Linked DNA regions of Nothobranchius furzeri. Each later gene encodes a partner of the first gene's protein in a complex. Links are inferred from orthologs where the notes say so. Each region holds a gene or a part of one and is shown in the gene's direction. Other genes may lie near its edges. The genes, in order: hbs1l and pelo.

Region 1 (6,863 bases):
ATATTTATTTAGTCTCTAACAGCACCTGAATTTTCTCTATATTTTTCTTCAGATACAAAAAGCAAGCCTTGGAGGAAGGTTGTCATTTTGGCTTTAGTTGTTTGCTAGCTGGCTAGCTACACAAAGCTACGTGCTCTTGAGGACAGCGTACGTTCACTGCACAAGGCAAATGTCTACTTCGCAGGTGCAAAATAAACTAGAAGATGTCAAAAATATTTACTTCAGATCTGACATATTTTTACATTTTTAGATAGAGGAGAAGTAGCTCAAGAGTTTGAAATATAAAACATGCACAGTGTGTAAAAGTTGTGTCATTAAAAGATGGAAAACCAATACAGAATTTTTAAATATTAAATTTTAATGCCGATATCAGCCGATAATAATGGTAGATCGATAATTTTGAACATCCCTAGTTTCTGCTTTCGTAGGAACTTTCTGACCCCAAGAAATTAAATCTATTCTTAATAGACACTCACACAAATGTACAGTTCCCTTACGGTAAGTTTGGCATTTATTTGCTGTGGGAATTAGATGAGAAGCTAGTTACTACTACTAGAAGCTTTAGAAGCTAGGGCGACTGCCAAATCCTCAGTGCTTATCCTGCTCGACTTATCGGCTACATTTGACACTGCCAACCATGGCTTCCTTTTGTCCACACTCTCTAGCATGGGCATCACAGAGAAAGCACACGCCTGGTTTGAATCGTACCTCACAGGATGATCATTCAGCGTATCTCAGCTTGGACAATCCTCTACCGTGCACCATCTTGCCACAGGAGTCCCCCAGGGCTCTGTACTAGGACCTCTTCTCTTTGCCCTATACACCACCTCACTGGGTGAGATCATTCGATCACATGGCTTCTCCTACTACTGCTATGCAGACGTCACCCAGCTCTATCTGTCATTTCCACCGGACGACCACACTGTCTCTGCTCGAATATCAAACTGTCTCTCTGACATATCAAAATGGATGAAATCCCACCATCTCCAACTCAACCTCTCTAAATCTGAACTACTTGTCATCCCAGCAAAACCATCCATAAAGCACAATATCTCAATCCAAAATGACTTCCCATCTCTGGCTCCTTCAAAGGCAGTTCGAAATCTGGGTGTTGTGATTGATGAACACCTGACCTTTAAAGATCATGTTGCCTCTGTTGCTCGTTCATGCCGCTTTGTGCTGTATAACATACGAAAGATCAGACCATACCTAACACAACATGCCACCCAGCTCCTGGTGCAATCTACTGTCATCTCCCGCCTCGATTACTGCAATGTCCTTCTAACTGGTCTTCCAGGCTGTACTGTGAGACCTCTTCAAATGGTCCAGAATGCAGCGGCGCGTCTGGTCTTCAATCAGCCAAAAAGAGCACACGTCACCCCTCTGTTCATTGAGCTCCACTGGCTACCGCTAGCAGCACGCATCAAAATCAAATTGCTAACACTAGCATACAAAGTCCGAGATGGTACGGCTCCCATCTACCTGTGTCAAGTTCCTCTTTTAGGTGAGTAAAATCCCCACTTGACTGGGATCATCTGCTGGAGAAATATACGCAGGATTCCACTCAGGACTTCATGACTTCACTTTTCATTTTCCTTTATTTCATTTCCATTTCATATTATTCAAGACGGAAATAGGAGATGATGAAGCACGAAGCAAGGCAAAGCCTACGAGCAGGTGAAAAACCTTAAACAAAAACAGTGTGTGCTAAGAAACAGTGTAATTGTGTAAAATTCTATTATCTCTATATAAACTACCTTTCATAAAATAGGTAAATGCGTGATTTCAACATGATGTATATATATATTTTTTGAGCTAACATTTATAAAATACATGATTAATTCATTCGGACCCAAACTCACTTAAATTCATCACTTCAGCTATTTATGTTTCAATTTTACATCACAACATTAAATAATTAGCAGATTTGAAGTAGCTTATTAACAATCAAACACCAAGCTGATTTCTAAACACCCAACACAAACATTTATGACGCGCACCGGAGTCCACAGTGTCAGCTCCGAGCTGCGCTTAACCATCACCCATCAGCTGATCGGCATGCACACACGCGTTACAAATCGGCATCTTACCGGCTGCCTCTCCAGTCTTCAGATGAATGTCATTAGCACCGTTTCGGAGGATCACCACGTTGGTGCTTCCTCTAGGAACTTTCACAACCAGTTTTCTCTCCTGACATGTCCTACATAAAACATTTCAGGTAATGCGCGATGACGTTCTGAGACGTGGAGCGACACGCACACTGACCTTAAATAGTTCCAGCTGTTTCATAACCACCTACCCAGTGTGTCTTTTTTTTCAATTATTTTTCAACTTTTTTATGTTTCTATTTGAGTTTTTTATTTCGATCTAAATACAATGCTGTATGATCAAGACTTTGACCGCACAACCTAAATCCTCTTGCAAAGGCTTACGTCTCGGCCCGGCCGCTCCGGTCATCACAGGATCGTCGGCTAGCAGTGCCTACACCACGCTCAGGACAATCCAGACTCTTCTCATGCATCGTTCCACAAATGTGGAATAACCTTCCAAGCACTACCAGAACAGCGGCTTCCTTTTCAATTTTCCAGAAACTCCTGAAGACCCTGCTCTTCAGAGAGCATCTTCTAAACTAGCACCCTCCCTGCATCCGTCCCCCCTCTCTACTGTCCACTCCTTGTTCCCTCCTCTCCATGATTCATCATGCTGCCTCACTGCCTCCTACGACTGACTGGAAATTGGCTGTTGTTGTTGTTGTTGTTAACCTCAAGGGCAACATGCTGATTATCACTTGTAAGTCGCTTTGGACAAAAGCGTCTGCTAAACGCATAAACATAAACATACTACTACTACTACTACTACTATCACTACTACATCACGAGTAATAACTTCAGAATTGTTCCATTTATGATGTTGTAAAGGCTAAAAACTGCATTTGCATACTTGAAGACGCTTTGTAACTGGCCTCTGATCGATCAGAACTAATCTTTATATTTCCAAATTGAGGCCACTCTAACAGTTATCTGCAGCTTTACTTGTTTTACTTCTCCATGACTTCCACAGAACCTTATTTTAAAAGATGTGAATTAAAACTGGTCTAATGTTTATAAAAACCAACATTCATTATAAATATCATGTTTATTATTACAAATATGTGTTTTTAATGTGCTAATGTCACCATTTAGGCACACGTAATTGTCTCTTGATTATTTTATGAGAAGAGATCTGTTTATTTTAGCAGCAAAAATGTTTGATCCTTAAACGTTCTCCTGACATTAAAACCTCTCGATTAAATGATGCCCCGCCCCGCCCCGCCCCGCCCTTTGCTCCAACATCTTGCCACTCCCGTCAGGGCGATTGTTTGTGGTTTTGGGCGTTGTTCTCACAAGGTGTTTTTTGTAAGCAAGGGTGTTCTCGTCTGCGTTTTAACTTTTCTTTATCCTTTTTGACTGTAAAGACGTGTGACCTCATTTGTGTAGTGAGTGAGGGGGTTTGTGTTTGAGCTAAACTCCTTTGTCATGGAAGCGTTGTGGTCTGGCAGGCTCCAGATGATGCTACGGCCTCTTGTGTTCATGGATGCTTAAGAAATTACACTCAAACATGGCCGCTGATATGAAAAGCTGACTTTCCTTTTCACTGGGATTCCAAGGATTAGAATATCTAACATAGCAGATCAGGTGAAGAAAGTAACGTCTTTCTCACTTCTAAGGCTTAAACATCCTTATATGGGGTTAAAATTAGGTGAAAATTAAGATAAACTTCAACAGATTATTTATTAGAGTTCCCATCCCATAATCTGAAGCCCATAAGCTCTTTTAGTGATGGTAGCTTGAATGTGTTTTCTGTATGACCTCATCATTGTCTGACATTGCTGTGGGGGAATTTCAGCCCACTTATTTTTTTATTATTATTATTATTTACAGTGTTTCTCCATTTTATTCAGGTTTGCATGACTTTTCATTTTTGTTCTGAGCTGTCTTGGTCCTGCAACAAAACCAAGCTGATGTTGAGACTTTGTCCTTGAAACTTTAGTCCACAATCACTGGGATCATTGTTTCTTTGCATGATTGCAGCTTGGTCCAGGCTTTATAGTTTTTCTTTATTACTCAGTCAAATAAAAGTACATTTAACAAAAAAATAAAGAAAATCTGAGTTAAAGGGGCATTATGAAAGTTTGACAGCCAAAACATGTATAGAAATAATAAATGTCTTCTTCATACATTCTCCTGCAATGCCCTGGTCCTGTAGAATGAGCCCTGGCATTTTTACTGTGATTGCCTGTTTTTCTGTAAAATCACAGAAAGAGAGCTGCTCGGGTCGAGCAGGCTGCTTCATGCGCGTTCACGCTCAGGCATCACCCGTAGCATTTGCTATCCGTAGCTTTAGCAGCAGAGAGAGAGGTAGTGCCACTTTGTCGCTGTTCCTAACGCCTAGTGACAACGCTAGCTACATTTCTGAGGACCCTTAGCTACTTTCTGTAGAACTTTCTTCTAGATATTTCCTGCAAATTAGCAACAAAATAGCCATTTTCACTCCGAACCGTTCTTTGGTTTGACGTTGTTTCAGCTGTCATCAAGGATATAAATGTTACAGATACGTCAAATGTTACTGGTGCTTTAGCTCACCTAGTAAGTTGTCTGACTCTCGTGCTGAAGACTTGGGTTTGATTCTGGGTGTGAACATACATTATTTAGAGTTTCATTTTGATCTCCCTCCAGGCTGACGTCGCCGTGCTCGTAGTGGATGCCAGCAGAGGAGAGTTTGAGGCCGGCTTTGAAGCGGGCGGTCAGACCAGAGAGCATGCTCTGTTGGTGCGCTCGCTGGGTGTCACTCAGCTGGCTGTGGCTGTCAACAAGATGGACCAGGTCAGAAGTTATCCTCAGTGCTCCAAAACACGAGCAGGGGAGTCCGACTGCTAGCAACTGTACAAAAATCATTAGTTTTTCTTTTTGTTGATATGTTTGTCAGGCTTTGTTTTTAAATTGGATCAGATATTCGCTTCTTCAAATCAGTCAAAAAAATTCCAACAATCCCAGTTTGGTGAACGGGTGGTGTATATATCACCGGCACATTGCTGACACATTTCCATATCGAAGCCACACTAAAGGGGAAACTTTCTTCTTGTGTGTACTTCCTCTGTGTGTTTACAAATCAGGTAAACTGGCAACAAGAGCGATTCCAAGAAATCACCTCAAAACTTGGTCATTTCCTCAAGCAGGCAGGATTCAAGGTGAGATGGAGCTAAAATACCTGAAGTCTGAATCCTTCTCCGTCAGCATGAAGGCACCAAGTCCAGCTTTTTGCTTTATTCTGACATTTGTTTCTGTTTTCTAGGAGTCTGATGTGTTCTTCGTCCCCACCAGCGGTTTGTCAGGGGAGAACCTCGTCACCAGGAGTACTGCGTCACAGCTCACATCCTGGTACTCTGGACCCAGCCTGCTGGAGCAGATCGGTAAGCCGTCACTGCGCGGCGAGTGTCATACTGAGCCAACGTTGGTTTAAATTTTCCTCATTCTGACAGAACAGTGATTAATATGTGGAATGCAAAAAGAGCTTCTGAAAACTTTAAAGCTGTTGCTCTTTATTTAGCCACGAGTCTTACTGAAACCAACTCACAGTACGCAAATGCTGCTGGAGATATTTCTGCAGTTGTTTCCAATGTTAGACTCGGCTAATAACAGATATGTTTGTTTTCGTCTACGGTAAAGCAGCAGCGTTTGTTTTAGCACATTTAAAAACTGAAAGTGTTTCACCCAAATAAAATATGACAAAAGCATGAAAAAGGAAAAAACAAACAACGCTAGATCACATTTACACTTTTATGCAGCAAATATAAAAAATCTGATTTTACTGTTTTACAATCTTGTACAAATTTGGAAACCAGTTGGCATTTAGTTTGGGAGTAGCTAAACATTTCTTGTGTTGTATATTAAAATGCACAGTAGTTTACCTCGAGGTAGTGATGCACCGATACGAAATAGTTGGGCCGATACCAATATCTGATATTATATTACTATTATGGCCGATAACCGATATTTGCCGATACCAATATACTGACATTGATGCTTCTAAAATCAGCAGGTTTTGTATCGAATGAAAATGATTAAAGCTGGACTTACGTTATTATGTACACACAACACACACCTTTACGCTTCTGAGATGATTACAATCACTGTCACATGACTAAACTAACACACATCACCCCCGCCCCCCAACCCTCTGAAACAGATAAACAAATGGAAACAAGATGGAAAAAATATCGGTTGTTAATATTGGCCCAGTATTATTTATCGGACCGATACCAACATGTTAAAAAATAATTAACATCAGCCGATACCGATATTGATGCCAGTTTATTGCGCATCCCTACCTCAAGGTATAACATTAAAATCAGATTTATGTGATTTTATCAGCTGCAGATTGTCTGTTTATCCTGCAGTTGGATGCTAAATGCAGCAGGGCTCCCAAGATAGTCACAACTACATTGACTACCAAAACTGTTGACAGCAAATGTAATTTATGGAGTTTTGTTTTATACCCTCCGCTGCATGAGGGTATAAATAAGTTTTCTCCGTGGGGTAGCTGGGTCCAGTCTTAGGGATAGGGTGAGGCGCTTGGACGTTCGGGAGAGATTCAGAGTAGAGCTGCTGCTCCTCCATTGAGACGAGTTGTGGGTTCCTTTTATGGATTCAGTAAGACACGAAAGATTAGACGTAGGGCTTTATTTTCAGTTTTACAAACTAGTTCTTTAGGACAGCGGGTTGCCGAGAGCCTTCGGCCAAACCTCCTCGAAAATGCCTCTCACATCAAATCAGAGACTATTTCAATACTTTTACCGACGTCAGCCTTGCATAACCAGGAAATGG
Region 2 (6,896 bases), on another chromosome or scaffold:
GTGGTCAGAGGGCTTGAAAAAATACTCGTTTAAAAAATGACAACAATTTCAAGTGAACTGAGACAAACATTTAGATGTTTGTTTACATCAGTAAGAAGATAATAGTGATAATTTTTGTGAATCTTTAGTGACACTAAACAGTTTAATCGACAAAAAACCCATCGAATCCAAAACATGATACTGTGACCAAGGTCACTACCATGTGCCTTGCAACAATATCACAAATATTTGTTACGTTTTTTATCTTAGAAAGTTAAGTTAGAAATGTAGTTACTGAAAACGAAACTCCACAGAATGTTAACTCAAACATTTTATTTCTTAAGTCTGCTGTGAAAATTCCCTCGGCTATAAAGCAAACAATAAAACTCACCACAAATCTTGAGGGGGGCCTCGAGTTCGAGCAGGATCGGCTGACTAAGGAAGATCTCCCGGGATTTGAGGCAGAGTCCACGGATTTCATTCTCTGTCAGCTGAACATTTTTACCAGGTCTGGAGCCTTTCACTTTAGGGAAAAGAAAAATAACACAAATCAAACTGAATATGGGGTTAAAAAACAAACATTAACCAGGGAAGTGGTAATTCAGTCTCATTTTGTAACAATCCTACTGAGGTGTAACTATTTTAATTCATGTCCAGCATACGTGTGTCTATCTATCTATCTATATATATCATATTTTCACAACTCTATTGGTGAAACATTTTTATAAGCAGACCACTGAGAAAGGGTCAAAAATTATGTATTTTAGTAGTTTTTCCTGTTGTCTCATTTATCGCAGCATCTAAAAGCACACGATGCAAAGGGAAATTCAAATATTTTAGGTTTATTCTGACACTGAGAAAATCTAAACATCTCATGGATTTCTGACAAACTGGTCAATTTTGGGGATTTTTGGTAAAGGGTATTCTGTAAATCATGCGTTAAAATAACCAGAACGCTTTTTAAATACCAATTTTCACCTACGATGATTTATTTTCATGATTGGAAAAAGTAAAAACTTCAAACTAACCCTACAATAAAATCACACGTCTTCATCGCTTGATGAAAATACATTTCAAACAGCAAATATGAGAAAAGACGCGCATCGTTTCAATAAATCAATGTTAAACGAGCCCTTTAACGGGATTACATGTGAAAATTTTTGTTGAAGCACTTAATGCAGGTCTACATAATTAATCTGATGGTTTCTGTCCAATGCGAGTCAAATTTTGTATTTCAATTGTAAAACCCCAAAGATGGATAATTAGGAAGTCTTTCATTGGCGGCTTCTTCCCTGTTAGCTAAAATGGCACCTCGGTGAATAAAAACCGAGTCTTACCTTCCAGGAGACGCTGTATAATTGAATCGATGTTCAGCTTGTCGGCTTCCGCCATACTATTCTTCTAATCGGGTCGGGTTTTCTTTGATTTACTTCGAAATTTCAATACGAAAAGATTGTAAAGTAGCTCTCGAGTTTACCGTTAGCTCAAGTAGTTAATCGGCTATCGTTAGCCGCTAGCTAACCTTGGGGGATAATAACAACCTCAAAGTGTGAGGCTGAAGACTGAATTGTTGAATATGTGATGGCTGACATGTGCTTGCAGAAATTTAATTAATCAACGACTTCAAATTTGAATCCTAAAACACTTTTTAAGTGTTTGAAATATCCGCCGCGGCTGCTAGCACAACCATGCCATCGACAAAAAAGGTTAGAAGAGCGTGGCTGAACGGATGTTGTCCGACTGTATTTGAGCTGCAATTGGTTCGTTTACCTCCGTGGCCGGGATCTGTGGTACAAAATCTGCTATCGGGTTGGCTATTTTCAATGTACGTCAGCATTTAGTCATCTCAAAACCACAACGATAAAAGAGCAAGTGCTCACGGAAATGGATCAAACGTTGTTCTTTGAGAAACTTCAGTTTACTTGAACATTTCCAAATAAATAAATACATCTACAAAATCTGAAATATTTAAGTTTCGGTCGCTTTGTATGTACTGCGCAGAAGCAACACCCATTAAAGAGGCCAAGCTAGACAGAATTGACGTATGATAACATGACGCAATGGGTCCTCTACTGCTTATTCGCCGGCGAGTTTAGTGGTGCATCGAATGGGCGGATGCAACTTACAGTCCGCTACGGTCTCAATGTTTAGGCGGATCGTTCTCCGGCATAACGTTAAGGAACGGACCCACGTCTCAGCGCCTCGCAACACGAACCGAGTGATTCATTCCAAAGTTGAGAGATGGCTTAGCTTAGTTAGCGCTTTCATTGAAATAAATATGTCCGTAATTCGGTTAAACTCCTGCCACTGTAGTTTAGGTTGACAATCTTGTTTATTACATTAAAACAATCCAGCCATGAAGTTGCTCCACAAAGACATTGAGAAAGATTATGCCGGGTGAGTGAAATGTTTCAGCTAATATTAGCAAGCTAAAAAGCATGCTATTGTAGCTGACCAAACATGTGTCATCGTAGTGGTGATGGATACAGGAACATTTACGATCAGTGCTTTATTAGACAATGTACAGAATGAAGCATTATTAACATAATACTGTATTTCCTGATATAGCCAGAGAGCTTTGATGACTGTTCTGTCCCCATCTAATGGGTAAACAATAAGAATCAAACAGTTTTTGTAATTTTTTTTTACATTCTGCATAAACATTCTATCAAACATTTGGATCAGTCGATGTCTAAAGAACATTTGATCTTGTGTAATCAAACATAAAAGCCAATCAGAAAGCTAGTTTGATGTGTGTTAACACTTCTTCAGTCAGGTAACTCTGATGCCAGAGGAGGCAGAGGATATGTGGCACACCTACAACCTGCTCCAAGTGGGGGACAGCTTGAGAGCCTCAACCATCCGGTAACCTTTGACCTGTGTCGCATAAAGATGAGATGTGCAACTCTGAACATTAAACTATCTCATGACCATTAAACAGACCACTTAGAAGTTGGTTTTAGTTCAGATGAGTTTGTTTCTTCTCTTTTCTGCCTGCTAATCAGTCAGGGTTGTATTTTGATTTGATCCCTTTCACAGTCTGTATGCATGTTAAATTGAACATTACACTAACAACTAAAGCTATTTTCCCTTGTTGCCACAGAAAAGTACAGACAGAATCCACGACAGGAAGTGTGGGCAGCTCCAGAGTCCGGACAACTCTGACTTTATGTGTGGAGACCATTGACTTTGACTCCCAGGCATGCCAGCTGAGAGTGAAAGGCACCAACATCGAGGAGAACCAGTATGTCAAGGTGGGAAATTGGACCGTAACCCTATAGTAGTCACACTCCGGTGTGTTTTTGTTTTGCTGTATTTGACACCGTTACTAGGGCTTGTTTGGGTTTGAAAACACTTGTCATATTGTGTTTTTCAGATGGGGGCTTACCACACTATTGAATTGGAGCTCAATAGGAAGTTCACTCTGGCTAAAAAATGCTGGGACAGCATTGTGCTGGACAGAATTGGTAATTGGCTGCTGGCTTTTATGCCACAGTTTTAAAATGAGATCATTTGCTGTTGAGAAAGGATGCCATTACAGCTGTTTAGGTTAGTTCCTAAAAATCATGCACAGTATTTTAGTGCTCAGCCTGTATGTTATGGACGATTAAATGTCGTTCACATAAAATTTAAGCTGTAAAATCAATGTGTTTACCAGTTTCAGTGAACTGTAGCAGCCATCCTGAATCAGGTTGACCCCAAGCACAAACCAGGTTGTAGATGTGCTATAAAATATACGTTTTTAGAGTCTTATTGAAATCCATCCAGTGGTTTATTAGATATCTTGCTGACAAATGCAAACAAAAACACAAGTACCCGCCTTTTGGCTTTCAGCAGTGAGTTGTGATAGACCTGCAGTAAAACATTTGTAATGATGTTTGACCCATTTTTATTATTTTCTACCCTTTAGACCAAGCATGTGATCCGGCTCAGAAAGCAGATGTGGCAGCTGTGGTCATGCAGGAAGGTCTGGCTAACGTGGTTCTGGTGACCCCCGCCATGACTCTGCTTCGGGCAAAAGTGGAGGTCACGATTCCTCGGAAGAGAAAAGGCAGCTGCAGTCAGCACGAGAAGGTCAGTCGTCTGGGATGTGTTCTGGTGTGTGCTTTGTTTATGTCTGGATAAACCTGCTTGATTTATTTGAAGAGCAAGTCACTCCAAATCAACATTTTTTTTGCTGATAAACTATATAAATGAGTGTCTTATTGTGCTGTAGACAAATGTAGTCAATAATTTGGCATTTTAGTGCATCTTAGTTAAATTTTAACTATTCTGCCTAAAACTGTCAGCGGTGCACTGTCGTCAGGCAAAAACTCAGCACTGCATTTGAATAGAAATCTGCCATCGCTATTGGCTAAGAGGTACACAATGATGTTAGATGGTACATTATGATGTCACAATGTCGTGAGTGTGTGTATTTGTTAGCGGCTCCACCCTCTCGGTCTGCTAGGCAACAGGAAGTGGGAGTTCAGTAAGAATCTGGCCGTGGGTGACTTGCTCTTTAAGAGTGGTTGCCTTCAGATGGTCATGTAACGATTATTCACGGGTGCATTCAGATAAATCATTTAAAAGGTAAGTGTTGTGCTTGTTTTTTTTACCAGGCATTGGAGAGGTTCTATGAGGCCGTGATGCAGGCCATTCTTCGCCACATTAACTTTGATGGTAGGTCCAACAGACCTACACTTCCACATGTAACAACACAGCATGTTCCTGTTTTCATCACATGTTCCACTCTGAGTTTCACCCGCAGGCTGAATGTAAAAACGGTCTTCTACCCCATCACCTGATTTAGCTGCTGATAGAAATAGACGGAAAAACGCTCAGATTAGAAAAGTCATTCAGATCTACGTCACACTGGAACTTAACATTCATGGGCTCATCCATCTTGACTCACGATCAGGAAGGCTGTTGCTGGTTTAACAGCCAGGAAACGGCAGAGAACTTATCTGCCTCGTAGAAGCTAACCGTTAGCATGAGCAACTCCACCACACAGCAGAACTACTTCAGGCTTGTATTATATGGGGAGATAAAACGTCAACATTGCAAAGTAAACAGTCAGAGGTAGAGTTGTTTTGCTGTTAGCCAATCAGAGGTGAGATGTCCGAATATCAGGAAATAAAACTCCAAATCCTGTCATGATCGTCTCCTCTCTCCTCTGACTCACTTCTACTTCCTGAAATAGGAATGTCAGAGCTTCTTCCTCACAGAGACCGACTCACAAGTCATTCATTCATACCAGAGACCACAGCAAATGTATTGAAAAAGTGAGTGAACTTGGTCTGTAGACTGAATCAAAGCAACTGTGTTAATCTCTGTTTTGGACTTCTGTCAGTGGTGAAGTGTATCCTCGTGGCCAGTCCAGGCTTTGTGAAGGACCAGTTTTCTGCCTACCTCTTTAAAGAGGCGGTGCGACAGGACATCAAGATCCTCCTGGAAAATCGACCCAAATTCATGCTGGTCCACTCATCATCAGGCCATAAGTATTCACTCAAAGGTAGGAGCTGCTGCGCACTGAGAAAAACAGCCAAGCTGAAGATAAAACAAAACACTTTTTTTTGTGCAGAGATCCTTTGTGACCCCTCTGTGACAAGTAGGCTTTCTGATACTAAGGTGAGTATACATCTTCTGGTTGTCCAGTTTTATTAATCATCCAAACTATCTGCAGGCCATCGTGTGCATGTTTGGGCTCAGAACCTAAACATGTGGTATTTGTGTGTAACTCTCAGGCAGCTGGAGAGGTGAAAGCTCTGGATGACTTCTACAAGATGCTTCAACATGAACCAGACAGAGCCTTTTATGGGTAAGAGGTGATGGATCCGAACTTCCAGCTGTGTCCAGAGGGGTTCTTCTCATTCACTCTGGTCTTTGTGTCTTTTCCCTCCTCACAGAATCGCTCATGTAGAAAAAGCCGCTGATGCCCTCGCCATCGACACGCTGCTCATCAGTGATAAGCTGTTCAGGTGCGCACAGAGAGATCTCCCAAGAGCATTACAGCTGTTTTTATGTTAAGTTTAAGCTCTTTAAAGTTTTACGTGTGTGTTTGTGTGTGTGTGTTTTCAGACACCAGGACGTCCCCACTAGGAGTCGTTATGTTCGGTTGGTCGACAGCGTCAAAGACAATGGAGGAACTGTCAGGTAGCTTAAAAAATACTGTTTTTATTTCCTACAACTGACACACACACACACACACACACACACACACACACACACACACACACACACACACACACACACACACACACACACACACACACACACACACCCTGCTGGTCTGTAAAATTGTGAAAATTCTGTTTTCAGGGTTTTTCAACCATTCTTAATGCTTTATTCTAATAGTTCTGTTATTTATACACGCCGTTCATTTTTCTCATGCAGGATATTCTCAAGCCTTCACGTGTCTGGTGAACGTAAGCAACAAACTCATTTCACACAAACGAAACTTTCTCATGGTTAACACGGTTAAGAGCACATCTTTCCCTGCTGGTGGATACAGTCGCTGTTTTTAAGCTAACTGTGAGGCTCATTCCAGCTCTAGTAGTGATTTATGCATGGGCTGCATGGTGGCGCAGTGGTTAGCACGAAGGCCGAAGGTTCAAAACTCGGCTGCAGCCTTTCTGCGTGGAGTTGCGTGTTCTCCCCATGCGTGCGTGGGTTTCCTCCACAGATCATAACATGCCCTATAGGTTATCAATTGTAAGTCGCTTTGGATAAAAGCGTCTGCTAAACACATAAACATAAACACATAAACATTTATGTTATTTGGATAAAAAAGCTAGATGCATCAGCAGGAAGATCAGCTGTTAAAACCAGCAGGGGGAGTGTTTATGTTTGAATATTTGAGTGTTTCCTGCGTTGTTATTGTTGATCCCAGTGAAGAAAACACACTAAAAGTGTTGTTTATAGAATTCTTGTCTAAA

What was found.
Region 2: hbs1l (region 1) and pelo share a complex: the UniProt entries of both Homo sapiens proteins name them as parts of the pelota-HBS1L complex. The link is inferred for Nothobranchius furzeri from reciprocal best matches to the Homo sapiens genes HBS1L and PELO.

Annotation. Positions count from the first base shown.
Region 1 is NC_091742.1:471,486-478,348, forward strand, and holds part of hbs1l (HBS1-like protein), read left to right. Parts: intron 1-4,715; coding exon 4,716-4,862; intron 4,863-5,152; coding exon 5,153-5,227; intron 5,228-5,331; coding exon 5,332-5,449; intron 5,450-6,863. UniProt on the Homo sapiens protein: GTPase component of the Pelota-HBS1L complex, a complex that recognizes stalled ribosomes and triggers the No-Go Decay (NGD) pathway.
Region 2 is NC_091756.1:34,852,896-34,859,791, forward strand, and holds the start of pelo (protein pelota homolog), read left to right. Parts: upstream 1-2,105; 5' UTR 2,106-2,335; coding exon 2,336-2,376; intron 2,377-2,751; coding exon 2,752-2,844; intron 2,845-3,082; coding exon 3,083-3,233; intron 3,234-3,355; coding exon 3,356-3,446; intron 3,447-3,889; coding exon 3,890-4,053; intron 4,054-4,580; coding exon 4,581-4,641; intron 4,642-5,311; coding exon 5,312-5,473; intron 5,474-5,542; coding exon 5,543-5,589; intron 5,590-5,705; coding exon 5,706-5,779; intron 5,780-5,867; coding exon 5,868-5,939; intron 5,940-6,039; coding exon 6,040-6,114; intron 6,115-6,354; coding exon 6,355-6,386; intron 6,387-6,896. Other genes in the region: ppp1cab (protein phosphatase 1, catalytic subunit, alpha isozyme b), read right to left, coding at 371-502, 1,317-1,371. UniProt on the Homo sapiens protein: Component of the Pelota-HBS1L complex, a complex that recognizes stalled ribosomes and triggers the No-Go Decay (NGD) pathway.